Linked DNA regions of Arabidopsis thaliana. Each later gene encodes a partner of the first gene's protein in a complex. Each region holds a gene or a part of one and is shown in the gene's direction. Other genes may lie near its edges.

Region 1 (8,504 bases):
TAATTAAGCAAGAAATTTGTTTGTCTTCGCAAATCCTACGTTTTTAACCAATTACTTGTGACTATTTTTTCAAACCTAGGATCTGTTTTTCGTCCATTTTATCAGAATAAAACGTCATTTACCAGTAAAATAATGTTCAATTAGAGTAGGTGTTGATACGGGATAGATATACGGGTCATTGTAGCTCATCAGATTAATTGTCGGATTAGAATTAAACATCTTTTAGTCCTTAACTGAAGTAGACGTTCTATTAACTGATTAAGGATTACACAAGCCAACGATTACAGGTCATACGCTGGGTCATAACATTGACAAATATAATAAAACATTTTTGTCATTGTGTGCTATTTATGGGCTGATATATATTATGCATGTGTGTATATATAAGTTTATATAAATTGAGGAGAAAATATATCTCATATCAATATATATATTTTTAGAAGTACTAAAATCCCATTGCCACTTTTGATATCAATTATATAAGTGATGGTAACTCATTTGTATCATTCGACGACGGATGTAAATATAGAAAATAAGTGATGCTATCCACCCTTTGATTTTAGTGATATGAGCTAGCTTTTGGGAGTAGCCTATCTAACCCATGCTGCAAAACATCAAAGCCATAATGTGGACTAATTTAAGTATATCGGCTTTACATATGTGTGTATATATGTTTTTTTTAATGTTTATTTACTTTGCTTGAGTTCATTCATACATGCATGAGTGATCATATTCAAAGAAGCCAGCAATTTTTGAAACAATGTTATATATTTGTGACACTAACATATTGAGTTTATGCATGGCTGTTTAAGTAAATATATAGAAAAATTATTAAGAAACTTAGGAATAACTCTTTTATAATAAAACTAGTATATACAGTATTACAAAAATTTGTTTTTATTTTATTGAATTTTAATAGATGTGAATTTTAACTAATTAAATAGAAAATTTAGTTGAATGTATATAATATTTACAAATAACTATTCAATTTTATTTATAAGAAAATACATATCTCATAATTTATCTTATTATAGGTGTAACATTATTTGTTCTTAATAGTCGTTTAAATGTGGTTTATTAATTATATACATATACAATCTTAATTAATTACATGCTAAACAAAATTGTACAAGATGGTATATTGGTATTCAGTCCACTTTTATAGCTTTATTATTCAGTTGTGGCTCTAATCAAATTTTTTTTAGTTCTTTTTCAATTTATGCAATATAGAAACTGTACGGAAAGGAGATGGTTCGGTTTTGCATGATATTTTCCAGCTATAAATGGCATGGTAGACTACTTAGCAGCAAGTATTTGTATAAAATATGACTGAAATCTTCTGAAATATCTCGGGCTCGAATCCTTTAAACGAGCATTGAGATTCGAGATATATCAACTAAGCTCTCCATATAAAGGAAATAAACAAATATGTATGGTCGAAGCCGATTAAAAAGCAGGCACACACAAACATTAAATTATACTATAGGCAATGTGACTTTATAACATATATCTCTCTCCACATAGGTCTATATGATAATTTAATTGGATGGTTATCCAAAGCACCCAAATAATTCTGGGAACTGCGATGTGTGATCTGATTGGCTTATTGCTCTTTATTAATATGAGATTTATAAGTATATGATAAAATTAGGTGTATGGGTCCCATGATCAGGCTAAAACAGCATCTGGTGTTTTTTACCACATTTCAAGACTCTTGTATGGTCCTTCTTTGTCCTCCCAACCAACCAAATTGCATGAAGTGTCCTCCATTTCAAAATTGAAAAAACTGGCATGTCAGGGCACATTTGGAAATATATACATGTGTATATATTGTGTCTCTATTTATGGAAGTGTAAAGCAATGACCCATAAGGTCTTCTCATTGTCCTATGGTCGGATCTATGTACTTATGTAGCTCCGGTTCTAGGGATGTGCTCTCATTCTATAGCTAAAGTCATCTTGGTGTGGTTTTGGGTGTGTTAATCATTTAGGTTCGGTTAGAACATTTCACGGAATAAACCTATCATTTGCATTTGATATCTATGAAAAACATTTCACGGAATAAACCTATCATACGTATCTTTCATTACCTTTACATAATACATCACACAAAAGCATAAGTATTCTTTCACCTTGTCATTTTTTTTTGGGATAAATTCTATCGGTAAAAACATACTGAAATACGCTAGAGTGGATTCTTTTCACTTGTCATAAAACCCAATAAAAATCATATTTATTATTTTATTATTATTTAAGTTCGTTTCTTAACATAATACATTACCACTATCTAATACCTCATATAAAATTAGATTTAAAATCCTATAAACACACACTAAATTCTGAAAGAAATAATGTTAGGTTGTTTAATTTCTTTTTTTTGTTTGTCAAATCAGATATATTGATATAAAACAAGGTTACAAAATATATAAACATTATAATACAATTATTATACGCAAATACAAAAATTTGATACAATTTTGATAAAGGAGTGAAAGTAACCCGACATTACAAGCAAATAGGCGTTGGTCATGATACATAAATATTTTTTAATTATAAGAAAATTACTATTATTTTAAAATCACAAATTTTAAACTGTATATTTTCTTAATTAGGCACTGATGAACAATTCGTGATACAATGTGGAAACATGTCTCAAATCGAAACCCTTATTTGATATGTTATTAAGATACCTGCTGGGGAGGTGCCTCATCCCAAAATAAACTAAATTAATTAACATTCATTTAGGTAGAAAAATTACTATAATGACATACTTAATCATATAATTATACTTTTCCTTCATACCACCAATAAAAGCAGATCGCTATCTAGCTCTTAGACAAGATAATAGCATAGCTTTTAATTTTGATAAAGCTGAATGGTCCTTGTAGATAAAGTTAAGAGAAGAATATGTTTTTTTTTTTACAAAGGCTTGTTTTCATTCATTCACATAAAAACAAGTACAAGAAGGAGTGATTCAAAGATCACAAAGTTTAAAACATAATTAAAGGAGGTATTCCCCAAAGCCAAAACATAATAGAGGCATTTCTCTAAGACACGAAAGGAAATGCATAGCATTCAAACCGACTCATATTAAATCATCTCTCATAAATGAAAAACTACTTCCACTTGAGACACTAAAGGACTCACCAATCAACATATTAAGAAAGTTACTGTTTCGTGGCTTGAAAATATGTAGAAAAGCTTCCAGGACGATGTCTCATTCATTAATTTTCTGATGATTCCAAATTCGTTTTCCGAACCACAACTTATGATTGCAAAAACCTAATGATTCGGCTTGAGTTGAGTCATGATGAGAATTTCTCCTGCTTAATTAAAATTCTGTTTTTAGGTATAAGAGATTCTATTCAGCAAAGATATTCAAGATGAGTAACAGATATTAAACATACCATGAACATTCACAAACCTGTGGGAATTAATATATGAACTTACCTAGCAAAAGCGAACATGTAATTTCTCATTTACATTTTCCCGTACTATGTAAAATTGAAACACATTTTCAAGTTTAAGGAAGATTATAATTTTGGAGTCGATGTAGTATCCCGAGAGCATACGAAACATATGTTGTATTTTCAAATTTGCGCCTCTCGATATTGAACTACAATAATGCATGTTAGATTCAAAGCAGCCTCGCTTTGGACCCTATAAAATGAGTTAATGCAAGCCATAATAATTTATCGATCGACATATTTACTAAACAAGCCAGAATGTGATCTCGATCTCAGCCTGTGTTAATCTTTTTGTAATTGAACATTCTGGACTAATGAACTCTTCACTATTGAAAAAAACAACAACACATAGATCATTTACACAAAGTCTCCCTTTACTAAATTTCAAGATTTGGTCCATTTATTCCAATGAGAAATATTCCAGATATTTTTTTTGGCTGTTGACTGTACGGATAGGCCCTTAATGGGCTTTTAATGGATTAAATTAGGCCCATGATACTTGAAAAATCTGAAAGGTGTTGTTGTGTTGTGTGTGACAGTCCAGTCGCGTCATCCGGAGACATCCATTTTCTCTGGTAGCTGTTTACTTCTTCTTCTTCTTCTTCTTCTTCTTCCTCCTCCTCTGTTCGTCAATCGCCGATCTCGTTGCTTCATTTTCCTGTGAGTATTTTCTCGATTCGACACATCTCATATCCGAATCTGCCATTTCTTCATTCAATTTTGTTTATTTGTTGGAACTTCGGATCTATATAGAGAATCGAGTTTTCTAGGGCTTACTCATTGTTTCGGGTATATGTAATGGCTGAGAATCTTCTCTGTTTGTATCAGTGAGATCGATTGGTACAAGTGTTCATCCAATGGTTGGAGGAGGAGTTATCCGGCAGCTTCTTAGAAGGAAACTTCATTCCCAATCAGTCGTGAGCTTTTTCCCTGTTACATCTTTTTGATTTTCTGCTGTAGCTTAGGATCTGTTTGAAGATAGAATCATATGATTTGTTTTGGTTCTGTCTACACCTTCATTGCTCTGAGAGATTGTCCTTGAAGAATTGTAACTGGAATTGTTGTGGCGTTGGAGATTTTGGGATATAAGAAACTTAGACTTATTGATTTGTGCTTCGAGAGTATGATTAATATTCGATTTCTTTTCAGAAAAAGTAGTCTTTTGATTTGTTGAGCATACACCTTCTTGTGTCTTGGCCTTTTTTTTTGTTTTCTTACTGTTGTTCTGTATTATCTACCACCATAGGCAACTCCGGTATTGTCATGGTTGTCTTCGAAGAAAGCGAATGAAGATGCTGGGTCTGCTGGTTTAAGAGCATTTGCTCTCATGGGTGCTGGTATTACCGGATTATTGAGTTTTTCTACTGTTGCATCTGCTGATGAGGCTGAACATGGTCTGGAGTGTCCTAACTACCCTTGGCCACATGAGGGCATTCTCAGCTCATATGACCATGCTTCGTGAGTGTTCAAGCTACAATTCAATCATCATAGTGAAATTGCAACACTAAAGTTGAAAATTAGAGAAATTTGAGACTGCTTTACTGACGGTTGATTTGTAATGAGCAGGATCCGTCGTGGTCACCAAGTTTATCAGCAAGTTTGTGCGTCTTGCCATTCGATGTCTCTGATCTCATACCGAGACTTGGTGGGTGTTGCCTACACAGAGGAAGAGGCGAAGGCCATGGCAGCTGAAATCGAGGTTGTTGATGGACCAAATGATGAGGGTGAGATGTTCACCCGACCTGGTAAACTCAGTGATCGGCTTCCTGAACCATACTCAAATGAATCGGCTGCTAGGTTCGCCAATGGAGGAGCGTATCCACCGGATCTAAGTCTTGTAACTAAGGTTTGGTGCTCTTTCTCTCCATTTGTATACAATTAGAAAATTCATCTACTATGATCTAAGCAATTTGGCTATTTTCTTCCAGGCACGTCACAATGGCCAAAATTATGTCTTTGCTCTGTTGACTGGTTATCGTGATCCTCCTGCTGGAATTTCGGTAAATTTCTCTCCTATTTTTGCTTTAGACTTGTTATTACAACTTCAAATTGTTGGAAGTTAGAAATAATCCTGTGACTAACGGGTACAGATCAGAGAGGGGCTACACTACAATCCTTATTTCCCTGGTGGAGCAATCGCTATGCCAAAAATGCTCAACGATGAAGCTGTGGAATATGAAGATGGAACTCCTGCAACAGAAGCACAGGTTAGTTTTCCTCTGCTTAAGAAAATAATTTGCAGACCATAAAGTTTTATCAGATTTGACCTTTCCTCTGAGTCAATTATATAATCTTTAATTTTTCTTTTTTTAAAAAACATGATGCAGATGGGTAAAGATGTTGTATCCTTCTTGTCCTGGGCAGCTGAACCAGAGATGGAAGAGAGGAAATTGGTAAGTTTCTTAGTTTCATATATTCCATGTTTTAAGCTGTCGTTTCCATATGTACGAGATTGCAATAGGAATATCAATCTGGATTCTGATTATTTGATTTTCAGATTCAGTTTGAGAAAATTGTTACCAAACTTAAACCGGCATAGTATAGATTGGTTTTGGATGTAGAAAAAGTATCGCCATTTTATCCGTGTTAAGATTTCCTTGGTTCTGTCTTCTGTATAGCGGGATGAACACACCTAGTTGCATAGTTGTGTTGAACACACCTAGTTGCATAGTTGTGTTGACCACACTACTGCTTGTTTCTTGAGGCTGCTAATCTCAGACCAAAACTATTATCAAACATGAACCGTATTGTTACTCTGTATTCAAAACCGTCATGTTGGTTCTAAACCGACCCAAAAAAACCCGCTATACCGAGAATCCAACTCTTTGTGCTTAGATATCTGTTAACGTTGGTTGTATGTGTGTGCAGATGGGGTTCAAATGGATATTCTTACTGTCTTTGGCTCTGCTTCAAGCTGCGTATTACAGGAGACTGAAATGGTCAGTACTCAAATCCCGTAAGCTTGTTCTCGACGTTGTTAACTAATCCCGTGAAGATCACCTTTTCTCTGGGTAATAATCATTAATCTTGAAAGGGATAAATGGTGAATCCCACTTTTTGTCTCAAAAGACATGTTTCTTTGTTTATTGTTTAGAAAGTCTAATGAGGCAAAGAAGTAAAGCTTTTTTAACCTCAAGTCACACATGATTTTGAGATTATATTATTTCTTTTTGGTTTGTTGTCTCCTAAACCGGACTCGGTTTGTCTTAATAAAAATGTGGTTTTACAATCTCTCTCCTATTTGTATATCACAAAACATGATTTTGTAACTATTAAAGTTAAAAAGTTAAAATCTGTGGTCTATTTCTGATAGACCAAAACTCCACAGAACAACCAATTTACCTCTGTTGCGAACTCGATTTTGTAAAACTTAGAAAAATGTAGGCAGGATTTAGACCCGTTAATGTAAAACCAGTTCCGTTAAGACATTACCAAACAAAATTGCACAATCCTACAGACAATGAAACAAACATGCAGGATCGGACAAAACCTCAAAATACAAGTCCACACTTTTAATTGTCCCTTGGAATCAATATTTATAAAAATGTAATGAGCTCAAATTTTTATAACCTATGAAAAGATCAAAATCTTGATTAAAAAGAAGAAAAAAACCAATCAAATCCTGGCAGGCTTCTGCAGAACAGCCGAGAGAAAAACCTCAGCATCAGTTTTCTCTCCAACAACCCATTTCAACTTCTTATACCCAAACCTCTCTATCAAACGCGTAAGAACTCTCTTCTTCTCATCATTACCGCAATAGAAATTGTCTAACTAGAACAATCCACCGGGTTTCAAGATCCGATCAAGATCAAACATCAAGAACTCTAGCTTCTCGGGTTTACTACTAACCGCTAAATCCAATCCGTTAGAAGCATGAATGAGATCAAAAACATTGTCATAGAACGGGAATCTCTAATCCAAACTCCCTCTGAACAACGGAAAAATCCCTCTTGTAGCTATGAATTCGCTGAAAGGAGCATCTATATTTAATGTAATACCGATAATATTCAGATTCTTTTCAGCCATTCTAGCAGCAAACGTGCCTGATCCGCTGCTAATATCGAATCCGATTCGGATTTTCCCATCGCCTAAACCCAAACATCATCTATCAGGAAATCAGTCTTCACTTTAACCTTAACAAACCTATCTTTCTCATGACCAGAGCTAGATCAAAGCAACCAACAAAATCCCGGCTCAGTTAAGACCTTTCAAGCATTCAAAACTTTTGCAGCCAAGACCGCTCCAGTTAACACTATTGTTACTGACCGTTCTCCACAAAGAATCATGAAACAGTGCGAGACCTGGCTTATGTACTGTTTTAGCTTCAACTTCTACAGGAAGTTTGTGCACAAGGAGCCTATGATACAAGTAACATCTGCATGTCAAAAAGATTTGTAGCCACCCATGTTTTCATAGGATAGTGTTATCTGCATGTCAACTTACTGTATTAACATAAATGGCATTATGAAAACTGGTGTAGTGTGAACTTAACAACAGCTGGTGTTCAGAGATTTTCATCAGAACCAGGGCATCCACCAGATGTACATCTTCCCAAGATTCTCAAGTGAGACTGCATCGGCAATCAACCGGCGAGCCTGACCTTCTACCGGTAGCGGAACACCAACAACCACGCCCTGCAGCCGGGCTTCAATGCTGCTTATGGCCCGCTGTAATTGCCAAATCATGTGGTTGTCTCAAGCAATTAGAAAAAAAAGAAAGGGTAAATGAACTGACATGAAAGAGAATCATTAAATGATTATGCAAACCTGAGCATGTGGGTTCTGAACTTCTACTCCGCTTGATTTGTGTGACTTTGTCCACTCCACAAGAGGATCATGGATGAATGTCTCCAGGATGCTCATCAACGTCTCCCTATGTGTCCTCAACACTGTGAGAGTGATTTCACATACCCTCATGAAGATGCCCTCATATCCAGTGATGCCCAAACCATCAATCATGTTCTGTGGTTTGGAAAATAACAATTCACTATTATGACAAACGAAAACAAAATACCAACAGAACACAAACAAACGATTTT
Region 2 (6,516 bases), on another chromosome or scaffold:
AAGCTCTTCATTGACTCTTCCTACGTAAGTAAACATGATTTTTCCACGTTTTGTAACTGATTGCTAGACTTTTTGATACAATATCACAGAAGACTAAGGCTTTTCATTTTTTGATTAATTAGGTATTGCATAGATCACCAGGTTTGGTAAGGGAACAAGACTTTTTTTTGAAGTTTTTTTGTATACATGTAGAGATCACTAGCGTTTTCCATTTTTCTAGGTACCAAGACTTCCTTCCACGACAAGAAGATGAGACACCTCCCGCCGATTTTGCTGAGGTACCACCCTACTGCCCTCATTATCTTCAAAACGCTCGAAATGTTTACTTATTTTCTGGGGCTGAATCTTGCTAGCTACTTTTTCCTTGTTTCCTGCTAACACACTTGTTCCTGTATAATGCACAGGAAGTTCTCTTTGTTGCCAATCTCTCCCCCCAAACTAAGATATTAGATATGTAAGTAGCACTCCCACTTTTCTTCTCTGAGCAAAGAAAAAGTAACTCTCCCATCACTCATATTTTACCCTCCACTTTTGCAGCTTCGGTTTCTGTCAAGATGTTGGAGAAGTTGTTAGTGTTCGACTTATTGCAAACCATGAGGACAAGCCTGTGGGCTGTGCCTTTGTTGAGTTTCTTTCTGCCAACGAAGCAAAGAAGGTGAGACTGGTTTTGTAGTCATGATGGACGATTTTAGTATTTTACTAGTCATTTTGAAAATTAGTGTATACAAACTTATGATGAAAAACATACTACTAGTTTTTTGAAAGCTGGATAGCTGATTAAATCTTTTTAATACTGTAGGTGCTGGAAAACAAGAATGGTGAATATTTTCATGGTCATAAGATCATTTTGATGAGAGGACATGGTGAAACTCCCGATTTCGCTGAGGTACCTCTTCTTGTTGTCTTCACAATATGTCAGGCTCAGCAGAAACCTTTAATAATAATAACAGAAATCTTGTGTTTTTTTTTTGTGCAACCTTAAGTCCTTTTCTTCTTTGCGTCGTGCTAACTCACTTGGCTGTTAAACGCAGGCTGTTGCCACAAGTAAAAAAAAGACGCTCTTTGTTGCCCATCTTACTCCCCAGACTATAATATCAGATATGTAAGTAGCACCTTAAGATTTCCTCTTTCGTTATTGGAGCAAGTTTCTCATGACTAATATTTTATCCTCCACTTTTTTACAGCATCGACTAATTGTTAACCACACTGGCAAGCATGTGGGCAAGGGATTTGTTGAGTTTGCTTCTGCTAAGGAAGCAGAGAATGTGAGAGTTGTTTTTCTAGTAATTGATGAAAAGTAATGTATACAAGTCGCAGTCATTTGATTAGTTAAACCGTTTATTTATACTCTAGGCGCTGGAAAAGAAGAAGGGTGAATATTTGCAGGATGGCGAGATTTTTCTTAAGGCGGCTAACATAGCTCCATTCCCTCCACCCAAGTAAATTAATTTTCCATGTTATGGAGATTTGTTGCTGTCAACTTATTGCCACCACAGAAGACTAACACTAATATTATATTTCTTAACTAGGTGGTGCGTAGATCACAAGGTTTGGTAAGGAATTTTCAACTATTTGCATCTTGAGGGTTTGTTATCAAGAGCACATTGGGTGAAGTTTTTGGTATACATGTAGAGATCACAAGGGTTGTTTAATGTTCCAGGTACGAAGACTACCTTGGACAAGAAAGAGATGAGGCAGCAGTGGAAGGACTTGCTGAAACTCCCTATTTTGTTGAGGTACGCGTGTTGTTATCATCTTCAAAATATGTCAGGCTCAGAGGGGAAATGCTCAAGTGTTTGATAACAAAACTGTTACCTCCTTAGAGCCATGCTAACACACTTGGCTGCTAAATACAGGAAGCAAGAAAAAAGACGCTTTTTGTTACCAATCTCCCTCCTAGAACTAGTATACAAAGGATGTAAGTAGCACCTTTAGTTTACTCTTTCGTTCTTGGAGCAAGTTTTTCATGACTGATGTTTTATCCTCTTCATGTTTACAGGTTGTATTTCTTCCAAGACTTTGAAGTTGTTCGTGTTCGACTTATTGTTGACCAATCGGGTAAGCATATGGGCTGTGGCTATTTTGAGTTTGCTTCTGCTAATGAAGCAGAGAAGGTGAGTAGTTTTTATAGCAATGATGAAAACTAGTGTATACTTACTTATATGATGAAATTGTTTTGATGAAATATTTTTATACTGTAGGCGCTGGAACAGAGGAATGGTAAAAGTTTGCGCTATCACAAAATCTTTCTTGAGCTGGCTGAGATAGCTCCATACCCTCTCCAACACATGTACATTGATTTTCCATGTTATTGCTCTAGTTTTGATGTCATAACAGAAGATTAACGTTATCATTTTTTGTTAATTAGGTACAAGCTTGCAGAGAAGCTTTGGTAAGGGATTTTTTAACTACTATTTTGCCTTTAAGAGATTTTTTGTTATCAAAGGCAAATTCGGTGAAGTTTTTCGTATAAATGGGGAGAGATCACAAGGGTTTTTGATACAATGCAGGTACGAAGACAACCTTCTACGAGAATCGAATCTGAAGCAACAGAAGGCAAAATCCAACGGATTCTGCGGTAAGAAGATTACCTTCTCTTACGGGGACGACTGCTAGAAGATGAAGAAGCTCTCTTTTTACGGGGATTAGTGTAGACACTGAAATTATTATCCATAGTAAACTGAAAATTCAAAAAGGGAGTACGGCTTACAGGTCGGTCTGATTTCGGTTTACCAAACCGGTTCACAGTTTCACACAGAATATCAACATTACTGGTTCATACACCTTTTACAGGATCATTCAACACAAGTACACAAAACATAGGCAAGAAGCTCTCCATTTATCATCATCCCCTCCACTGATCCTTCTTGTTCCGAACTTCCCTCATTGTATCAATTGGCGACTTGCAACCGAGTTTCTCCTGGAAAATAACAAAGTTAATCTCGATATACGACAAGAAAGTAAAGATCGATATCAACAGTGATAGCTGATAAAACCGAATCATGAATTGTTCAAGAAGATGAACCAAATGGAGTAATAACCTGTATCTCTGGCTTATCAACACGCATAAATGGATTTGTTTCGAGCTCTTCCTCCAGTGTTGAAGGGATTGTGGGAAGATCTGCTTGGCGCTGTTGACGGGCCCATGCTAACTTCTGTTGTATCTTCCCGTTGTTTGGTTCCACAGTTAGAGCAAATTCCAAGTTCTTAACGGTGTACTGAGAACCATAAGAAATGAATAGCGGATTATTCAGTTTATAGGCATCCATTTTTATGAGTTAAGAACTCAAAAGACATAATGAAGCTGTTGATTTTTTTACCTCATGGCCGCAGTAAACCTGTGTCGGTTTAGGTAATGCAGCCAGAGTCACACACAACGACTGATACATCTGCTCAGCTGTCCCTTCAAAAAACTTCCCACATCCAGCAACAAACTGTATAAAATCAAAGTAAACACAGCTTAATGTTTAACTCATAACTATCTCCATTTAGACATTTACAGAGATAAAAGATCTACGGAGAACATATAGGGTCCATGGTAGGGAAGAACAAGAGGATTCAGCTTAATGTTACCACTTACAAGTGTATCTCCGGTGAACACGGCTGGGTTTTCTCCTTCTTTTCCGTTCACATAATAACTAATGTGACCCTTGGTGTGACTGTAACAAGTAGATATATCAGAGGAATCAGCGATGACAAGAGAAAATGACTGAGTTAAACATCAAGTAGATTAGATGCATCTAAATTCATTGGAAAAAAAAAAAAAAAAAAAAACAAACCAAGGAGTGTGGAGAGCCAATATGTTAATATCCTGACCCAAAGTCAGCTTGTCACCATTATCAACCGCATCAGTGCAACCCTTCACCTTATCCAGAGAACCTCCATATACTTTGATATCAGGAACCAACTGCTTAATCTTCTCGTTTCCACCGGCATGATCCCTTTGATCATATCAAGCCACCAATCAAACAATGAGTGTTAAAATAAAAACGTCGCCTCAAATCCAAATTTCATCGAAGACAAAGGCAACCATCATATGGTACATATATAATAAATCTTGCATCTTCAAGAGGTGAAACATTAATGCAGAAAGTATCAGACTTTAACAAAGAATCAGACTCACGAAGATGAATCTCTAAGTCAGTTGAAACTGATAGTAGGAAAAAGCTAAACACTTGATCAGAAAACTGAGAGATTTAACAATAGACTTGTACTAATGTTAATGTCTAGGACCGGAATCTAGCATATGTCGATATCACTGAGTAATAAGAACCAACAGAGAATCTCGGAGATGAATCAAATAAGATAAGTTACCAGTGACATAGAGAGAAGTGAGGTTTACTTACCAGTGATGATGCGTAGTGAGTACGAACTTGATCTTAGCTTGGTGCTTCTCAGCCGATGCGATCACCTTCTCCGGATCAACTGGATCCACAACCGCCGCGTCTCCGGTGCTCTCATCGATTATCCTGTTTTTTTTTTACGAAGAAAGAATCCTAAACTGATGATGAACCGAGTCAGATTAAGAAGCAACGAAATTGAAGTAGGATATCAAAATGGCTCACAGATAAGAGTAGTTGTCTTGCAGACAAGGAACGTGGAAGATCTTCATCGTCTCCTTAGATCGATCGTCCTTCTCCTCCGGAACACTAGCTGTATCATCATCATCATTTATGTCTGGACTAGTGATTTATCTATTTCGGTTTACTCAAACCGGATCGAACCGAAACAAATCAGGATAAATTTTGCAGCCGGTCATCCGGTTCAATTGTAATTGTAACTGAACCGGAATCGGATAAAAAACATAAGCTTCGTTGAGAATTGTTTATTTTAGGTTTTGGGGGAGATTCGTTCTCGTACTGTGGATTGTTGTTGTTGGGATTATCTGGGAAGAGAAAAAGAAAATGGGGAAGCAGCCGGTGAAATTGAAGGCGGTGGTTTACGCACTTTCTCCGTTTCAGCAGAAGATCATGACCGGTCTCTGGAAGGATCTGCCGGAGAAGATCCACCACAAGGTCTCTGAGAATTGGATCAGCGCCACTCTTCTCGTTACCCCTGTCGTTGGAACCTACTGGTACTCTATCTCTCTTTCTATCTCTCTCATCAATCGATTGGTAAAGGAACCTTTGGATCGAGTTCCGATCTGGTTGATTGTTCTTCGATCTGTGTCATCGGTCTTGTGCGGCGCATATGGATATAGGGTTCTTCGTTTGTGTCATAGGAACAAATGAGAAATGATAGGATTTAAGTTAGTTTGAGATGAGTATTAAGTGGAGTGTAGTATATAGAGACTCTCAGCTAGAAAAAGTCTTCCAGGTATCAAATTAGTATTGTTGATGAACCACTCTGTGGAATTGCATTTCAAGATGTTGAGGATTTAAATGGCTTAGTCGTAATCATTAGCTGATTAGTGTGGTTCTATTAAAACTGTTGAGTTCTTGCTTGTGAAGCTATTAGTTACCTGATCGATCTAAACATTACGGGTGCTGCATATTATGGTCTAGTTTCTAGTCATCTTTTGTGCTTATTCTTTCAAATACACACAATGAATGCAGGTATGCTCAGTATTTCAAGGAACAGGAGAAGCTTGAGCACAGATTCTGAAGCATGAAGTCACTCCTTTTCTACAAGAACCTGACAGTTTGAAGTAATTTCTTTTGTTTCAAGCCTATAAATTTCACAAAAACTCTTGTGGGAATCTTCTGAGTCAGTTTTTCTGAAACTCTTTTGCTAAATAAATGTTTGGGTTTCATGACAATGACTCTTGTTGTTCATCTTTCTTGATATATGGTATGAAAATTGGATTGAATCGAGTAATATATTGATCCCTCAAAACAACTATTAGGCAAAATCAAACGCTGCCTATGTTCCCTTAAGACATCAACTACAAACAACTATTAGGCAAAATCAAACACTGCAAGTCTGCAACCACTCCTACAAGGTTTGTGATGAACAGAGTCGTTGGTTGGACTAGAAATGTTGTCCATTTCATCAAGTACAGTTCAGCGGAGTCATTCTCTTCGTCTAAGGCTTTTGAGGTAACTGTGAAGTTGGTGTCGATACCGGCTAGGACTTTAAGTAGACCTTGGAAGACTGCAAATTAGTGATTTATATAAAACTACACGATTTGCCGAAATTTATTTCACTTTTGTGACGCAAGATAAAATTAAGCAAAACATAATTTATTTCAAAACGATTAATATAAAATACCAAAATGTCACAAAAATCAAAAATAAATAAACACTCCCTCGACAATACTGATCACTTAACCGGTTTTAAAACCAACAAAAGGCAATCCTTTAGTTCTTTAAATAGTTTTAGATAGAACCGACGGAAACGGCAGCTTTGATGAGTAAACCAAAGAGAACAAAAGGGTTAGAGAAGAAAGGAGAATGGTCGCTCTCCAATTCGTAAACTTGGCTAGGTGGCCACCGTCTTATCATCGCGTCTTGCTGCTCCGGTTTCATGACCCGGTCGAGTAACGTCTTGATGTACACGCGCGGCACTTGCTCCTCT
Region 3 (7,056 bases), on another chromosome or scaffold:
GATACTCCAAAACGAGTCACGACACACAATATTCCATCTCATATAAATTAATTCTACATCTACATCAGACAGTCATATATGGACACACATATATATCATTTGATGGTGCGTATATGCTTTCTGTAGAAAGTACATTACAATTTGGTATATTACTCTTTGGTTCTTGCTGAATCAAAGTGTAGAGAGTAAGCACAATCTCAAATATTAATCAACATATATAATTACGTGATCACATATTCATGCAAGGTGGTATAAAAGCAAAAAGAAAACATATTCAAAGGGAGGCCATGAAATATATGATTAAAAGGGAAACGAATTTGATCGAAGGAAAATTAAAGTTATCGAAGAGACAAATGAATTCCGTATACGGCCACGTGAGAAAGTACTTTTACATTGCAAGTTTTGCAACCTCTATATGTCAATCATTATGAAAATATTATTTTATTTGCCAAAAAAAAAAAAAAAAACAGTTTTGTAGCCATTTTGTATTGTTTTCTCTCTCGCCATGTTGTATTTGAGATTAAACGTTTAGAAACAGAAACAAAAAACATTTTTTTTTATTAACTATTTTGTCGATTTCATTATCAGGATCAATTAATTCCGATGTATCCCCACCTAAACATATTTCATTGGAATAAATCCTAAATCAACATCAGCCTCATGATCCTCCCAAAAAATCCAACCGCTTTGAATGCTTTCTTATAGTCTATATACACATAACTAATGAGTATTCACGAATTACATACGACCCCAACATTATTTCAAAATATTAACAGTTGAAAACCTGAATCTCTTTAATTACATATTTTCATTTTGAATGAAAAAAAAACAATGATTCTTCAAAATTTGTTTGACTAGTGCCCTATGTTTTTAGGAGACACAAGATTATTCAAAATGCCCGTTTTCTCTCTTAAATCTCTTCTTAATTAAGATCCTCTAATTGAAAGTTACTTATAAAGGATCCTCTAGTTGAGTTTGGTCACACAAAAAAAAAAATTCCTTTAATTGAGAGTTTTACCTGGCAAAAATCATTAGAATAGACTTGATCACTTGCAAAAAAATAAAAAAAATGAATTACAATAGACTTGATCACTTGATAGAATTTTAGGTTATCTAATCAATAGTTTAATTCTATATTGACTATTTATTTATTTATATAGGCTCAAAAAATTAAGGGCCAAAGCAATTCAATCTGCAAAAAAGACACGTAAAGTTGTCACTTACCATACAATACAACAAAAGCGAAAATAAAAAAAGTTATTCACCAAACAAAAACTTACGTCGACGTGTAAGACAACCTCCCACCCGATTTTCTCATTTCCTTACATAACCCAACAAAAAATACATATTATCAACACCGAATCTCTCAACACAAACAAAATCACACATCTCTCTTCATCTTTTTGTTTCCTGCAAGAATCTGAATCTGCTTTACTATTGTGTCATCATGATGAACATCGACGATACGACGTCTCCAATGGCCCACCCGATCGGTCCATCTCAGCCTCCTTCCGACCAAACCAAACAAGATCCGCCAAGTTTGCCCCAAGAAGCAGCTTCTTCTGTTTCGGCCGACAAGAAAGATCTAGCTTTGCTTGAAGAGAAACCGAAGCAGAGTCAAGAAGAAGATAGAGTGGACACTGGGAGAGAGAGGTTAAAGAAGCATCGGAGAGAGATCGCTGGTAGGGTTTGGATACCGGAGATATGGGGACAAGAAGAGCTTCTTAAGGATTGGATCGATTGTTCAACGTTTGACACGTGTCTAGTCCCTGCCGGAATCTCGTCTGCACGTACTGCTCTCGTAGAGGAAGCTAGGCGAGCTGCTTCAGCTTCTGGTGGGTTACATAATCGTTGCTTGATCTTACGTTGAATTTAATATAATAAGATAACATACTTATAAATGTGGTTCTTGTTCCTCAATAATATAAGGCACTATTGTTACATTGTTGATAATATTCTAACTCATTTTACTCGTAACTTTATGAAACATTGCAAATTGAGTGTGTTTAGTTGCCTTTAGTTGTTCTGTTAGTGTAGAACGGATTTTGTGATTTTGTTTTTTAATACTTTTGATTCGATCCGTCCATATCATCTATACTCTACAACTATCAGAATATCTAATATTCCAGGGAAAAGATAGATATCTAGAAAAAGTTTTAAGGAAAATTTTTAAAAGTTTAGAAAGATATCAAAACTAAAATTAAAAAGAAAAAATTCGAATAGAAATTATAATCAGTACTAGAAATTTTATTGCATTTTTCAGATATAAGGAAAGTAAGATTTGAGTAATGTATATAAGTATAAATATACATATTTGTAGTTCATAAATCTGAAGGGAAGCGAATATCCTCATTCTCAAAGTTCAATATTTGCAATGTGTCCGCTCTAAATTTTAGAATATGGTTCGCTCTTTTGGATTCTTTTGTTAAAAACCTCAAGATTTTGAATCAGCAGTTTTTCTTTCTTCAGAATATCAAATTGTGAATGTGACATTTGCCCGTTTTCCTAATGCTCCTTTTGCATGTGCCCAAACATGCCCAATCATGTTCTTAGCTTCTTATAAGTCCAATTCAACATTTATCCCTTTTATTTGGCATCTCTCTCTGTGCCATGAGTTAGACATGTAACTATGTAACAACGCGATTAAAGAGATCAGAGCGGACTTATTGAAAAGAAATCTTGATTAGTTATTTACTTAGGAATCTAGAAACGACGACCTTGGTTAGTTATTACTTTCAGTTCACACACATATTTGAGTTCTTATGTGAAAAATTGCTTATGGGTACCAAAATACCTAAGTCAAAGTATTTTAAAATACTTGCTCGTGAAATATGATTTTAGATATGTAAATTACTCAAATACCCAAAAGATGTTTGCCCGTTAAAAAACCCCACTATACATAACATTGTTATTAATAATAGATGAATGTCCATTATAAAGTCCATCTTTTAGAAGTGTTTATACTCCAAATTTTACTTTGTCACCAAGTAAAACCCTTTCTTTGAACTCATATTTAAAAAACCCTTATTCATCAGAATAAAACATGAAATCTTCTATCTCTTTTCTCCTTTCTCTAGATTTAAAAGATTTTCCTAATACAATCAGAAAAAAAAAATCAAACTCAAAGCAAAGAGAAATCGAAAGCTATGAATTCATTTGACATTACCTCCATGAAAATCCCCCAAGAATGAGTACGTGAGTGTGGAAGATCCACAAATACTTTGGAATGATTTAAAGTAAAGGTATGATCATAGAAAACTGTGATATTACCTAAAGCTCGCTATGATTAGATTCATAAGAGATTACAAGACTTCAAGTCTATAACTGAATAGAGCTCATCACTTTCAAATTGGAATTATGTGGATCCATGATTTTCTAACTTATTTGCATATGATTTTCTCTCCACATAATTTCAATATGAAAATAATTTAAACAAGACTGAGTTATACTCGCTTACATACTTGAATTCTCATATGAATCCAATCATATATAACGAGCTTTAAACAAAATCACTGTTTTCTGATGATCATATCTTTCCTTCATATCAAACCAAAGAATTTGTAGATTTGTTAAAGAAAAATCATACCTTTAATTTTTCTTTGCTAGAATTTGATTTCCTTCTTTGTATCAAGAAAATCCTTTGAATATAGATAAAAGAGATTTGATGTCTTATTTCAATGAACAGGGATATATACTCATTCTCGAATAACATCTTATAATATTTCTTAGCAAAAAAAATAAAAAAATCTTATAATAGGAATATATACTTCTCCAAAATATACAAACATTCAAAAAAATATTCAAATACCCAATCAAAACTACTTATTCGAATAAATTATTTTGGGCCTGAATTTCTTTGGGGATTTGGGACAAACCAAAACTCAGATTGTTCTGCTAATGTTAGGGGTGTCAAAATGGGCTTAACATTTAGGGCCGTACTGGGTCCGTTAAAATAAATGGGCTACGAGGCCGAACTATTGAGGCCCAAATGGCCTTTCTAGATACGAACTAGTCAAAAGAGAATCATTTCTGATTAGTTGCGAAAAATCTCATCGTCTCTCTTCTTCGCTCTCGCCATTGTCGTAGATCGCTTTCTCTAACCCTAAAATACGTAGAGAGATCAGATACCTGAAAACAACCAATCAATCATGGAGTACGCTGCTCGGAGAAATCAGAAAGGCGCTTTCGAAGGCTTTTACAAACTTATCATGCGCCGTAATTCCGTCTACGTCACTTTCATCATCGCCGGCGCATTTTTCGGTGAACGGGTAAGAGATCAGAGCCTTTTTGGTTGTGTTATAGCTTATTAGGGTTCGTATTGTACCGGATCTGGTTTTTGTGTGTATGGTTTGATTGGAACGAAATTGGGGATTTTGGTGTTGTCAAATGATAATCTTAGTGAAGAAATTTCGTTGGAGAGGTTAATCAATCTACAATAGAGAGCTGGAGATTATAGTTTTTGTGAGAAGAATCTGGTGATAAGTTGTTTTTTTTGGGGTCTTATATGTGAAGAGGTTTACATGAACAGACAATGGAGTTTTCATGAAATGTTAAAATCTGTGGTTGCAGGCTGTGGATTACGGTGTTCATAAGCTCTGGGAACGCAACAATGTTGGGGTATGTTTATTTTCTTGTATTCTGAATCATGTTTTATGCAATCTGATGCCTAAATATGTTGACGATGAATGATTTTTTTGTTACTCTTTTGATTCGAAGTTCTGCATTTTGTTTCGGAAATGTTTAGTATTGGTGATGTTAATGTTTGTCTGTCATTTGAACTAGAGAGTCTAGATGGTAATAACTGTTTCTTCATTCTCTTTATTGCCCATCTTGAGATATGGAATGATCACATTTTTCTACACACACTTCTTTGGTTTCATGTCATCGTCGTAATCATCTTCTGTAATCTCTGCTTGTTGTTAGTGTTATTAGCTAATAGGTGAATGCTTTTCGAAAATCTATTGATGCCTGATTCACCTTTTCTAGCTTCTATTGGAATGTGTATAGTTCCCCCTCTACCTTCGACATCCTGATTTTTCTGCCTTGTGTGAGTATCTGTGAAAGTCTGAAAGAGAATGGTTATATTCGTATTCACAATGATTTTCTTGTCATGGCGCAGAAACGATATGAAGACATCTCTGTGTTGGGTCAAAGGCCAGTAGAGGAATGAGCTTTCTTCTTTTTGAATTCTCTTCAGACCAAAAGCAAGAATTGGAAATTTCCATGTTGTTTTGCATTCCAACGTCTCTCTTTCTTTGTTGAATAAATATAAAATCATTGGGATGATTCATATTTCACCTAAAGCTATCTGGTTCTGATTACTTGAATTTTTGCATTGTGGAATATGATAACATTATCATAAATCGTCATTTGGCATTACAAGTATTTGTCCCTTATTAAAAGCAAGTCCATTAAAACGCCCATTTGTGAATCGTCCTTTTCTTCACTTTTGGGTTCTTGAAGCGTCGCTTTAATATGCAGTGCCCATATTCTGAGGTCTAATTTCATCCATCTTCGAGAAATAGTAATCATGGAGATTTCCATTTGTTTGCCAAGGGTCAAATTTGGAAGGATTTTTCAATCAGTTTACTCAAATGTTGGATCCCAAAAAAGAAAGAAGATTAATGATTATACGAATTCTTTGAAGAATAACCAGAGAAGTCACTGTCGATAGAGCATCATCGTTCTTGAATTTACAGAATTAAGTGGGAATTAAACCGACAAAACCACATTGGTTCGATTTCGTGCACATAGCTGAAAGACTTCCACTAAGCTGTGGGGCAAAAGTTCAAGATTAGATTTTGACGATCTCTTTTATCATAAATCACATAACTTGCACCACTACTTTCGAAAGGCCATGCATGTAGAGACGATCAACATCGTGCAAACCAATCAATACATATCTTTCAAATGGAATTATCCATCCATAGATTCGCATAATGCATTTTGTTTGTTGCGACAAGAGATTTAGAAATCGTAGTAGGAAGCGCAAATGTGATGTTCGCGGAGTCGGAATATGGACAAATGAATATTCCGAAAACATTTTGTCTTGAGACGTTATGTTATGTTCTGCGCCCCTACCTGATCATCACATCACATGTTTCACTTTTTCTTTTACGTTTTCTGAGAATTGCCTCTCTTTTTTTTTTTTTTTTCATTTCTCTAAATGAAATGCTCTTTTAAATAAACAGTTTATATATTAAGAATAGTGAAAGATTTCTCTCGATAAGAAGTGGGAAGCTAGAAAGAAAAATGGGAGACGGGTTTTTATGGGGCAGGCACCATCTGTGGATTATACGAAAAGGTAACACACACCAAAAAGATAACACAATTATTTGTTTCGTTAAAGTTTTGAAATTGACAATATTGTATAATGTTTTAACAAAAAAGTGTTTAGTATATAGGTCTTTACAAAAGAAATTAAAAGAAACACATTCGAAAACTTTCATCTATTATCTTTGGATCGGATCCATGAAATAGAAACCTAAAGGAATCAACGTTATAGCTAGGACCGTTTTAACTGCATGTAAAGAGACATACAGAGGTTCCTATGTTTCCACATCTTTGATGGAAGTTTTCCAATAAAAGCACACAAAATGTGGTCTCTAGTCTATACCTTAATTTAGCTTATATTCTTTCCTCCAAAAATGATATTGACCAACGACTTGAACTCCTTGACTTATGTAATTTTTGGTCAACACTATTACTACAAATTGACCCACGTACATACTAAAAGAAATACACAACATAATTACAATATTTTAATGTTGACAAGATAAAAAGAACTTTATGTTAATAATACGATGTTAGAAAACGTATTAAACTAATAACATAGACCTATGATGATCTCCCACCCCTAAGTTTGTTTATTTAGGGAATATCGTACCACAGAAAATCACTTGGAATTGGATAACACTAGTTTTTAGGTTTTTCTTTAACTTTTGTTTTCCTTTATTTATTTTTTATTTTAAGAAAAAAAAAATGAAGAAGAGAGGGCTATATATAGCAGAGCCATTCCCGCCGTGTCAGTCATGCAGTAATCTGATAAAACCCTCC
Region 4 (6,974 bases), on another chromosome or scaffold:
TGTGACGATTTCAAGCACATAGAAGAGTCTATATCATCACTTCACTTGTTAGGCCTCTCTTTAATTTCATATTATATGACACTTTTTTCATTCAATGAAAAGAATAAAATAAAATTAATTGTTTGATACTCCTAATTAGGGATGTTATTCTCTGCTTCTCCTTTGTACTTTTGGGAATATCTGTCAAATCAATTACTTAAATGAGAATATTAATAAATTTGGCATTTGATGTGCTTTATTTGGCTGCAATTAAACAACAATCATATGAGTTATTGAGTATCATTCCAACCCCATAAATGTTAGCCTTTTTAAATGGAGTATATATTACTACCGTTTTTTTGTTCGTAACGCATATTACAACCGCTTTAATCAGAGAAATTATTTAAAGACGAATCTGGTGAAACATGAATTAATTTTGTCAAATAGAATATGTGAATAGTATTTCTGTTTATGTTAAATTAGGCAATAACATTACATATATACTTAATCCTTTATCTGAAAACACTAGATTTATGATAAATACGAAAGGTAACACTGGTTAGCGTATGGAACCATCAAATTTTGACTAAATGTTTTCTAACACTATGAGTGACCAAAACATTTCCTTTTACAAATTAAAATTTGTATTAGTCATCCTGCATACATTTCTTTTTCCCCAAACATTTTCAATTTTGGAATTTTTTTATATATATGTAAATTACATTTGAACAGGTCTAATTTGAATGGTTAATACGCGGTTCAAATAAAGTTGGCAAGTAATTAACAAACGAATCCACATCAAATTTCAATTACTGTATGTACCAAAACCACATTTATACCAAACCGCATCATAAAATAAAATAAAAATTCTTAAGGCCTGTTTTGTAGATTTTGTAAGAGTTTTTGGTTTTTGTTTTTTAAAAACTTATTTTCATACCAATCAAGATTTTAAAATTTTGGTTTCCCTACAATTTAGTAAAACTATTTTATTGTAATTTTCCATTCATGATTTTAGTTTTTTAGTTTTTGTAAAATTTAGGAAATCTAGTTTTTGTTCAATCAACGTTATTTTTCTCAAAAACCAAAAACCATTTTTTGGAGATTTTTTGAACAAAAAATATAATAACAAAAATCTAAAACTAAAATCTAAAATTCAGAAACTAAAATCTAAACTCAAAAACTAAATTAAAAATCAGGGCCTAAATTTTGACATAATATGGATAGATGATGATAGTGAGACCAAACCACATAATATTGCATATTTTGATGTCACCATTTGATAGCCTATAAAAAGGAGAAGAAGCAAAGGGTAGTTCTGGAAAAAAAGGGAATCGTGGGGGAAAGAAAGCAGAGTCGTTTTCAGATCGTGAATAGAAGCAGCAGCAGAAGCCGTATCTATCCCTCTCTCTCTCTCTCTCTCTCTCTCTCTCTCTCTCTCTCTACTTTGACCGTTCCTCTTCTTTTTATTCATCAACATCATCGAGCTTTCTACTACTTGGATTCCTACTTCTTCTTCTTCTTCCTCTGATTCTCTCCCATTCCAATCAATCTCTAGGGTTCTTCTTCAGGTATCTCAAATCTCCTCTCTTTTCTTTTTATTGCTAACCATTTTCATTTACTTTGGCTTATTTTTAAGTTTAATCTTCTTCTGATATTGCGTCTGCTTTTTTACCTCTGCAAAGACAGAACCTTTCTCTGTCTCTCTCTGCTTGTACCTTGTACCTTTTCTCTCTGTATACACTCCATTGTCTGCCTTTTCTCGTCTCTCTTCTCTTACAGTTTTTATTCATTAATTTCTCTCGAGGATGCTCCTCAGGCCCCTCTTTATCTCATCTCCCAGCTAAAGTTTCTCTTTTTGTTTTTAATCAGCAATACTTCAGAAGCTGGTTTTGGCCATGGAACCCAATGGGTACAGGAAAGAAAGAAGAAAGGAACAACATTTGGGGAGAATGAATGGTGGTGGTGGTGATGTTGAGACTGATCTTGATCCATGGACTGCATGGGCTTACAAGCCTCGCACTATCTCTCTTCTCCTTATTGGCGCTTGTTTTCTCATGTGAGTCATCATTTCTTCCTGCTTCTTCCCTTTTACCTCTCTGCCCATTTCTCGTAATCCTCAATTTGGTTTTGAATTTTACTTAGTTGGGCTAGTGGAGCTCTTGATCCTGACAGCACTACATCTGATGATCTTGTCACTTCTGTCAAAAGGTTCTCTTTTTCCTTCTGCCCACATCATGTTTTTTTTTCTTTTTTCATTTGATTCCATCAATTAACACTAGTCTACTATGTTTATGTTCCTTTTCTAGGGGAGTGTGGGCTATGATCGCTGTCTTTCTTGCTTACTCTTTGCTCCAGGCCCCTTCAACGTTTGTTTACCATCTCAGCTGTTTTATTAATTTGCTTTCTCTTTTATAATGTAGATTGTGGTTGTTGGTGATACTTGTGATGTGTCTTTAATCAAGTAATTTGCTTTATGCAGGGTTCTAATCAGGCCCCATCCTGCAATCTGGCGCTTAGTTCATGGAATGGCCGTCATTTACTTAGTTGCACTTACTTTTTTGCTCTTTCAGGTTCACTTTTTTTTCCTCCCTAGATCCTTCTTACTTGCCTATGCCTGTGATTTATATATGGATTCTTGTTTTAAGTGAGCAAACTCTAATAGTTACATTATTCATGCTCCCAGAGACGTGATGATGCACGGCAGTTCATGAAGTTTCTCCACCCTGACCTTGGAATAGGTAAGAGTTTCGGAGAGGAATGCTGTTTATTCGAGGAGCTACCACATCAATGATTGACCATCTTATTGAGTTTGCTCATGTTGCAGAACTTCCTGAGAAATCATACGGTGCTGATTGCCGTATATATGTGCCTGATCACCCAACAAACAGGTTTAAGAATCTTTATGTAGGGTATCTTCTCAACAACTCCCCTTTACCTTAACCAACCTTCATATCACCTAAAGGCTTATGCTTTGATTAAAATTTATCAGGACACAGTATTTGATGAGTTTTTCTTGGCTCACATCTTTGGTTGGTGGGGGAAAGCAATTCTGATCCGGAACCAGCCGCTTCTTTGGGTGCTTTCAATTGGTTTTGAGTTATTGGAGGTTGGTCTTTGTCTTCGTTTTCTTATATTACAGGTTCCAATTTGATATATACAAAAATATCGCTTCGCCTGTGTCACCGAAAAGTTATATTTATGTTCTCCAGGTTACTTTTCGGCATATGTTACCAAATTTCAACGAGTGCTGGTGGGACAGTATTGTTCTTGATATCTTGATATGCAACTGGTTTGGTATGATTCTTAAGCTACCTTGCTATTCTATATGTAGTGCTTTTAAACATGTTATGGATAACAGCTTTTCTTGTTTTAATCATGGTAGGTATCTGGGCAGGAATGTATACAGTTCGATATTTTGATGGAAAAACATATGAGTGGGTTGGCATTAGCCGCCAGCCTAACATTATTGGCAAAGTAGGTTTGTTCAACCTTGAGAGTGCATACACATGGTCCTAGCCGTTGTACATCCAATGAGAATTTTGTATATTTTTTCAGGTGAAAAGGACACTGGGGCAGTTCACACCAGCTCACTGGGACAAAGACGAGTGGCATCCGCTGCAGGGACCTTGGCGTTTTATTCAAGTACTCACTCTTTGCATCATATTCTTGACAGTGGAGCTGAACACATTCTTTCTCAAGTTTAGCCTGTGGATCCCCCCTCGAAACCCAGTGATTCTCTATAGGCTGATCTTGTGGTGGCTCATAGCGATACCAACAACACGGGAGTACAATTCATATCTTCAAGACAGGTAAAGCTATAGCCACTGCGATATTGGTTGGAGTTAGTTTGGAAAGAGTTTTGTATATAACTTGTGTAGTTTTGGTTGTTCACAGAAAACCTGTGAAAAAGGTGGGAGCATTCTGTTGGCTGTCACTGGGGATATGCATAGTAGAACTTCTCATCTGCATCAAGTTTGGAAGTGGTAGGTGGTTCCTTACACATGCTCTGCCTTAGTTATTTATGGTTACAGTTACATAGTGTGGAGAGTGTAAACTTGGTTGTATGGTTATGATACGAACAGGATTGTACCCAACAGAAATGCCATTGTGGGTAGTGACACTATGGGGAAGTGTGGGACTTGGACTTGTGGCCTTCTTGCTGTCTTGGACATGGAAGATCCAGAAGATCCTCGCGCAAAAGAGACGTTAAGCGCATCATTATTGTTGCAGCAGAGACGAGAGAGAAATAGAGGTGAGACAGTGAAATGCCATTGTGGTTTTTTTTTGTAAATAGGGAGAAGAAGGAACGATGTAAATGCAATTTTCTTTAGGGATAGTGTGTGATATTCAACATTTACGAAGATTCCATCAATTCTTTCATGCATCAAAAGTTCTTTCATCTTTGTTCTGCCCCCTCAATCTGACAAAACATGTTGGTTTGAATGTCAATTTTTTGTTACCATTCACACATTCAAGTTTTCAACAGTTCAAAAAAAGAAGAAGAAGTTATTGAGCCATTGTTTCTTCTGGTTTTTGAGATGATTGTTTTGTGCTGCCAACTCTTACATGACATTAACAACATTATTGTGCTTTTACTGCCATTAACTCCATTACCACCATTCAATTTTTCTGTCTTTAATTATTGGTTCCAGTTTTGTTATTCTGGTCTATTATTTTGTATTATCATCATTCTATCAAACAGATTATTTGTTTTGTTGAAGGAAATGAAAAAAAGAAGAAGAAAGAATCAAATATGATAAATTGAGGATAATATTAAGATTGTGTGACCTGCCGTGCCGCCCAACAACATGTCACATGGTATCTTAGGTTTGCAAATTCGTAATTTGACATCTTCGACGACAATTTTGACTATCTATCTAATCTTAACATCACTCTTCCATCATCACTTCCTATTTTATTCCAACTTTCTTAAAGAAGCCAAAAAAAGGATGATGTCAGAAGTTAAGGAATATTCTGACAAGGATAGGATGCCCTTAAGGGAATCTAGAGTCTTGAATGGGCTTTTAGAATTCCAAGAAGCTAGGGAATCTCGAGTCTTTAATGGGCTTTTAAAGTTTCAAGAATCAAAGGCCCAAATTGCATATTTGTAGCCCGTCGGAAACGCAATGAAAATGATGAATCTGAAGACTGACTCAAACAACATCTCTGTAGGGTTCTTCTTCCTTGCTTCTTCGAGTCTCGATCTCCTCTCTCAATCTCAGGTAACGCCAAAATCCTCTTTTTATTCATGGGATCTTTTATACCAAATTCGATTTCTTCATTTTGAGATCTGTGAATATCATCGTCCCACGAACCAATCGAATCTGTTGTTGTCTGACATTAATTTTCATTTCTATCTCTTGCAGTCTTCAGCTTCCAATTGACTTTCAACATGTAAGCTTATTCCTTAAACTCGATACCTTCTTACCAATCTCCAATCTCCAATCATGTTGTGTAGATGGATCTCTAACATATGTAGACCCTTTAGTATTCGTGTCTGAATCTCTAGACTGGAATCATTTTTTTTTTTTATTGTGGCTCTATAGTTGTGTAGGGGTCGGTCTATGATTAGATCCGATTCTATTCATTTTTCTGGCTTATGTTTTCGCATCATATAATCAGAGCTTTATCTTGTAAGGAAGAGTGATAAAACTAGATAATTATGTTCTTTCTAGTTTTGCTCGTAAAGACGATTCTTGTATGTCATCATTCACACGGGAGTAGTTTATATATCTAGCCATTGATGTTGCATCCTCGATGCCTGTGGTTTTTCTGAATATTTCAGGGCAGATGATGAAGTTGTTGATCCAAAGAAGTACCTTGAGGAATCTTGCAAACCAAAATGTGTGAAGCCACTTCTCGAATATCAGGTGAAACTGGTTGATGTTGTGACTAATTATGAATTGTGTTATAAGTTTTGACACAGTGCCATGTTTTGTGAAGATCATTGTTTGACTGATACAAGGCTTGTTTGTGGTTCTCAGGCATGTGTCAAGAGAATCCAAGGTGATGATTCTGGCCACAAGCATTGCACTGGCCAGTATTTTGACTACTGGCAATGCATTGACAAATGTGTAAGTTACTTGAATTATGTTATTTTGCTGTTTCATCATATGATATCTTCTAAAGTTTGATACTGAGATGAAATTGGATTTTGGATCTTCAGGTTGCACCAAAGCTGTTTGCGAAACTAAAATGAAAAGAGGTGAAGCTGGAGACTCTATTGTCTTGAGTTTGCTACATGTGGTTTAAAATTGATGTATAAAATGCAGTGGATGTTGAACTTTTTTTTACTGCAAACCAGATTGCCAAATGGCTCTGCTTCTTGGTTTTGTTTCCATCGCAAGTTTGCGCTTACTACATTTTTTTGCTACTTGAGTAATTGCATGGCCTAATAACAAGATATGTTGTGCCTTTCTTTGGTCCAATTGTCGTAGACAATGCGTCAAACAAATCATTAGGCTTGAAGTTTCAATAAAGAGAGATTTTCAAGCCTCTGCTATTAGGTGGCCTGGTACTATGGCCATTGATTAGGATTTCTTAGAGCTTGCCAAAGTTTATGATCGGACTAACTCTGAAGCTTATTGGTCTTAAAAAGATAACTATCTAATGATGGCGGCTACAAGAAGATATTTTCTTTTAAAAAATTTTGAAGGTGAAAGAAGGTTGAATAGTCTTATGGTGAAATCACATGTGACTGGAATGAAGTGAAGAACTGTTTAGTGGAGTGTGTGATGCATGCAGCAGCCACTTTTGAAGGACAGCTTGGACTTTAGAGTGAGAGTGAGATGTATGGCCCGCGGCGGCTGCATTAGACTGAATCTTATCCTTGACACTCTACAGCAATTATGTAGATTCTCCCATTTGACCCTCTATTTAAGGGTTAGCAAGTGTAATACCAGTCCATACAATACCATTACATAGCCATGAACGGTGGAGACGGTGCTTCTAGCTATGCTCGCAACTCTTCCTATCAGGTTTTAATAATATACATC

The links.
Region 2: the proteins of AT5G40810 (region 1) and AT3G10860 are in contact, whole or in part, in a cryo-EM structure (PDB 8BEL), measured with the Arabidopsis thaliana proteins. Residues at the interface, in NP_198897.1 of Arabidopsis thaliana: Asp65 (codon at 4,845), Glu66 (codon at 4,848), Leu283 (codon at 6,374), Ala286 (codon at 6,383), Tyr287 (codon at 6,386), Arg290 (codon at 6,395), Leu291 (codon at 6,398), Ser294 (codon at 6,407), Val295 (codon at 6,410), Ser298 (codon at 6,419), Arg299 (codon at 6,422), Lys300 (codon at 6,425), Leu301 (codon at 6,428), Val302 (codon at 6,431), Leu303 (codon at 6,434), Asp304 (codon at 6,437); in NP_001327236.1 of Arabidopsis thaliana: Lys9 (codon at 4,929), Ala10 (codon at 4,932), Val11 (codon at 4,935), Val12 (codon at 4,938), Tyr13 (codon at 4,941), Ala14 (codon at 4,944), Leu15 (codon at 4,947), Pro17 (codon at 4,953), Phe18 (codon at 4,956), Gln20 (codon at 4,962), Ile22 (codon at 4,968), Met23 (codon at 4,971), Gly25 (codon at 4,977), Leu26 (codon at 4,980), Lys67 (codon at 5,584), Arg71 (codon at 5,596).
Region 3: the proteins of AT5G40810 (region 1) and AT3G52730 are in contact, whole or in part, in a cryo-EM structure (PDB 8BEL), measured with the Arabidopsis thaliana proteins. Residues at the interface, in NP_198897.1 of Arabidopsis thaliana: Pro79 (codon at 4,887), Leu84 (codon at 4,902), Ser85 (codon at 4,905), Ser86 (codon at 4,908), Tyr87 (codon at 4,911), Asp88 (codon at 4,914), His89 (codon at 4,917), Ala90 (codon at 4,920), Arg93 (codon at 5,037), Gly119 (codon at 5,115), Val120 (codon at 5,118), Ala121 (codon at 5,121), Tyr122 (codon at 5,124), Thr123 (codon at 5,127), Glu126 (codon at 5,136), Ala129 (codon at 5,145), Met130 (codon at 5,148), Glu133 (codon at 5,157), Glu238 (codon at 5,644), Asp239 (codon at 5,647), Glu265 (codon at 5,845), Lys268 (codon at 5,854), Leu269 (codon at 5,857), Phe272 (codon at 6,341), Lys273 (codon at 6,344), Trp274 (codon at 6,347), Phe276 (codon at 6,353), Leu277 (codon at 6,356); in NP_190841.1 of Arabidopsis thaliana: Glu39, Val42, Asp43, Val46, Leu49, Trp50, Asn53, Asn54, Lys57, Arg58, Tyr59, Ile62, Ser63, Val64, Leu65, Gly66, Gln67, Arg68.
Region 4: the proteins of AT5G40810 (region 1) and AT1G15120 are in contact, whole or in part, in a cryo-EM structure (PDB 8BEL), measured with the Arabidopsis thaliana proteins. Residues at the interface, in NP_198897.1 of Arabidopsis thaliana: Glu66 (codon at 4,848), Ala67 (codon at 4,851), Gly70 (codon at 4,860), Leu71 (codon at 4,863), Glu72 (codon at 4,866), Pro74 (codon at 4,872), Asn75 (codon at 4,875), Tyr76 (codon at 4,878), Pro77 (codon at 4,881), Trp78 (codon at 4,884), Arg94 (codon at 5,040), Phe194 (codon at 5,422), Thr198 (codon at 5,434), Arg201 (codon at 5,443), Asp202 (codon at 5,446), Pro203 (codon at 5,449), Pro204 (codon at 5,452), Ala205 (codon at 5,455), Gly206 (codon at 5,458), Ile207 (codon at 5,461), Tyr215 (codon at 5,575), Pro217 (codon at 5,581), Tyr218 (codon at 5,584), Asp232 (codon at 5,626), Glu233 (codon at 5,629), Thr241 (codon at 5,653), Pro242 (codon at 5,656), Thr244 (codon at 5,662), Glu245 (codon at 5,665), Ala246 (codon at 5,668); in NP_172964.1 of Arabidopsis thaliana: Val6, Val7, Asp8, Pro9, Lys10, Lys11, Glu14, Tyr28, Val32, Ile35, Lys43, His44, Cys45, Thr46, Gly47, Tyr49, Phe50, Trp53, Gln54, Asp57, Ala61, Leu64, Phe65, Leu68, Lys69.

What each region holds. Positions count from the first base shown.
Region 1 is NC_003076.8:16,335,877-16,344,380, forward strand, and holds AT5G40810 (Cytochrome C1 family), read left to right. Parts: upstream 1-3,986; 5' UTR 3,987-4,126; intron 4,127-4,294; 5' UTR 4,295-4,323; coding exon 4,324-4,383; exon of another isoform or gene 4,384-4,712; coding exon 4,713-4,924; intron 4,925-5,032; coding exon 5,033-5,312; intron 5,313-5,394; coding exon 5,395-5,466; intron 5,467-5,556; coding exon 5,557-5,673; intron 5,674-5,793; coding exon 5,794-5,859; intron 5,860-6,334; coding exon 6,335-6,451; 3' UTR 6,452-7,051; downstream 7,052-8,504. Other genes in the region: ATR (Ataxia telangiectasia-mutated and RAD3-like protein), read right to left, coding at 7,984-8,133, 8,233-8,427. UniProt on the Arabidopsis thaliana protein: Component of the ubiquinol-cytochrome c oxidoreductase, a multisubunit transmembrane complex that is part of the mitochondrial electron transport chain which drives oxidative phosphorylation.
Region 2 is NC_003074.8:3,394,911-3,401,426, forward strand, and holds AT3G10860 (Cytochrome b-c1 complex, subunit 8 protein), read left to right. Parts: upstream 1-4,664; 5' UTR 4,665-4,904; coding exon 4,905-5,074; intron 5,075-5,555; coding exon 5,556-5,604; 3' UTR 5,605-5,845; intron 5,846-5,901; 3' UTR 5,902-6,016; downstream 6,017-6,516. Other genes in the region: AT3G10845 (RNA-binding (RRM/RBD/RNP motifs) family protein), read left to right, coding at 1-24, 221-278, 405-454, 538-655, 800-886, 1,185-1,265, 1,354-1,439, 1,661-1,736 and 5 more; GLY2 (Metallo-hydrolase/oxidoreductase superfamily protein), read right to left, coding at 2,846-2,920, 3,042-3,218, 3,321-3,434, 3,581-3,659, 3,780-3,941, 4,347-4,469, 4,566-4,612; MES17 (methyl esterase 17), read right to left, coding at 6,318-6,516. UniProt on the Arabidopsis thaliana protein: Component of the ubiquinol-cytochrome c oxidoreductase, a multisubunit transmembrane complex that is part of the mitochondrial electron transport chain which drives oxidative phosphorylation.
Region 3 is NC_003074.8:19,541,260-19,548,315, reverse strand, and holds AT3G52730 (ubiquinol-cytochrome C reductase UQCRX/QCR9-like family protein), read left to right. Parts: upstream 1-4,005; 5' UTR 4,006-4,148; coding exon 4,149-4,268; intron 4,269-4,569; coding exon 4,570-4,689; 3' UTR 4,690-5,047; intron 5,048-5,119; coding exon of another isoform or gene 5,120-5,170; 3' UTR 5,171-5,497; downstream 5,498-7,056. Other genes in the region: AT3G52740 (uncharacterized protein), read left to right, coding at 1,448-1,870. UniProt on the Arabidopsis thaliana protein: Component of the ubiquinol-cytochrome c oxidoreductase, a multisubunit transmembrane complex that is part of the mitochondrial electron transport chain which drives oxidative phosphorylation.
Region 4 is NC_003070.9:5,197,720-5,204,693, forward strand, and holds AT1G15120 (Ubiquinol-cytochrome C reductase hinge protein), read left to right. Parts: upstream 1-4,928; coding exon 4,929-5,053; exon of another isoform or gene 5,054-5,151; coding exon 5,152-5,201; intron 5,202-5,345; coding exon 5,346-5,373; intron 5,374-5,764; coding exon 5,765-5,849; intron 5,850-5,963; coding exon 5,964-6,053; intron 6,054-6,108; coding exon 6,109-6,231; 3' UTR 6,232-6,474; downstream 6,475-6,974. Other genes in the region: PSS1 (phosphatidyl serine synthase family protein), read left to right, coding at 1,875-2,035, 2,122-2,187, 2,286-2,345, 2,459-2,549, 2,663-2,717, 2,804-2,883, 2,969-3,085, 3,189-3,273 and 4 more; AT1G15125 (S-adenosyl-L-methionine-dependent methyltransferases superfamily protein), read left to right, coding at 6,906-6,956. UniProt on the Arabidopsis thaliana protein: Component of the ubiquinol-cytochrome c oxidoreductase, a multisubunit transmembrane complex that is part of the mitochondrial electron transport chain which drives oxidative phosphorylation.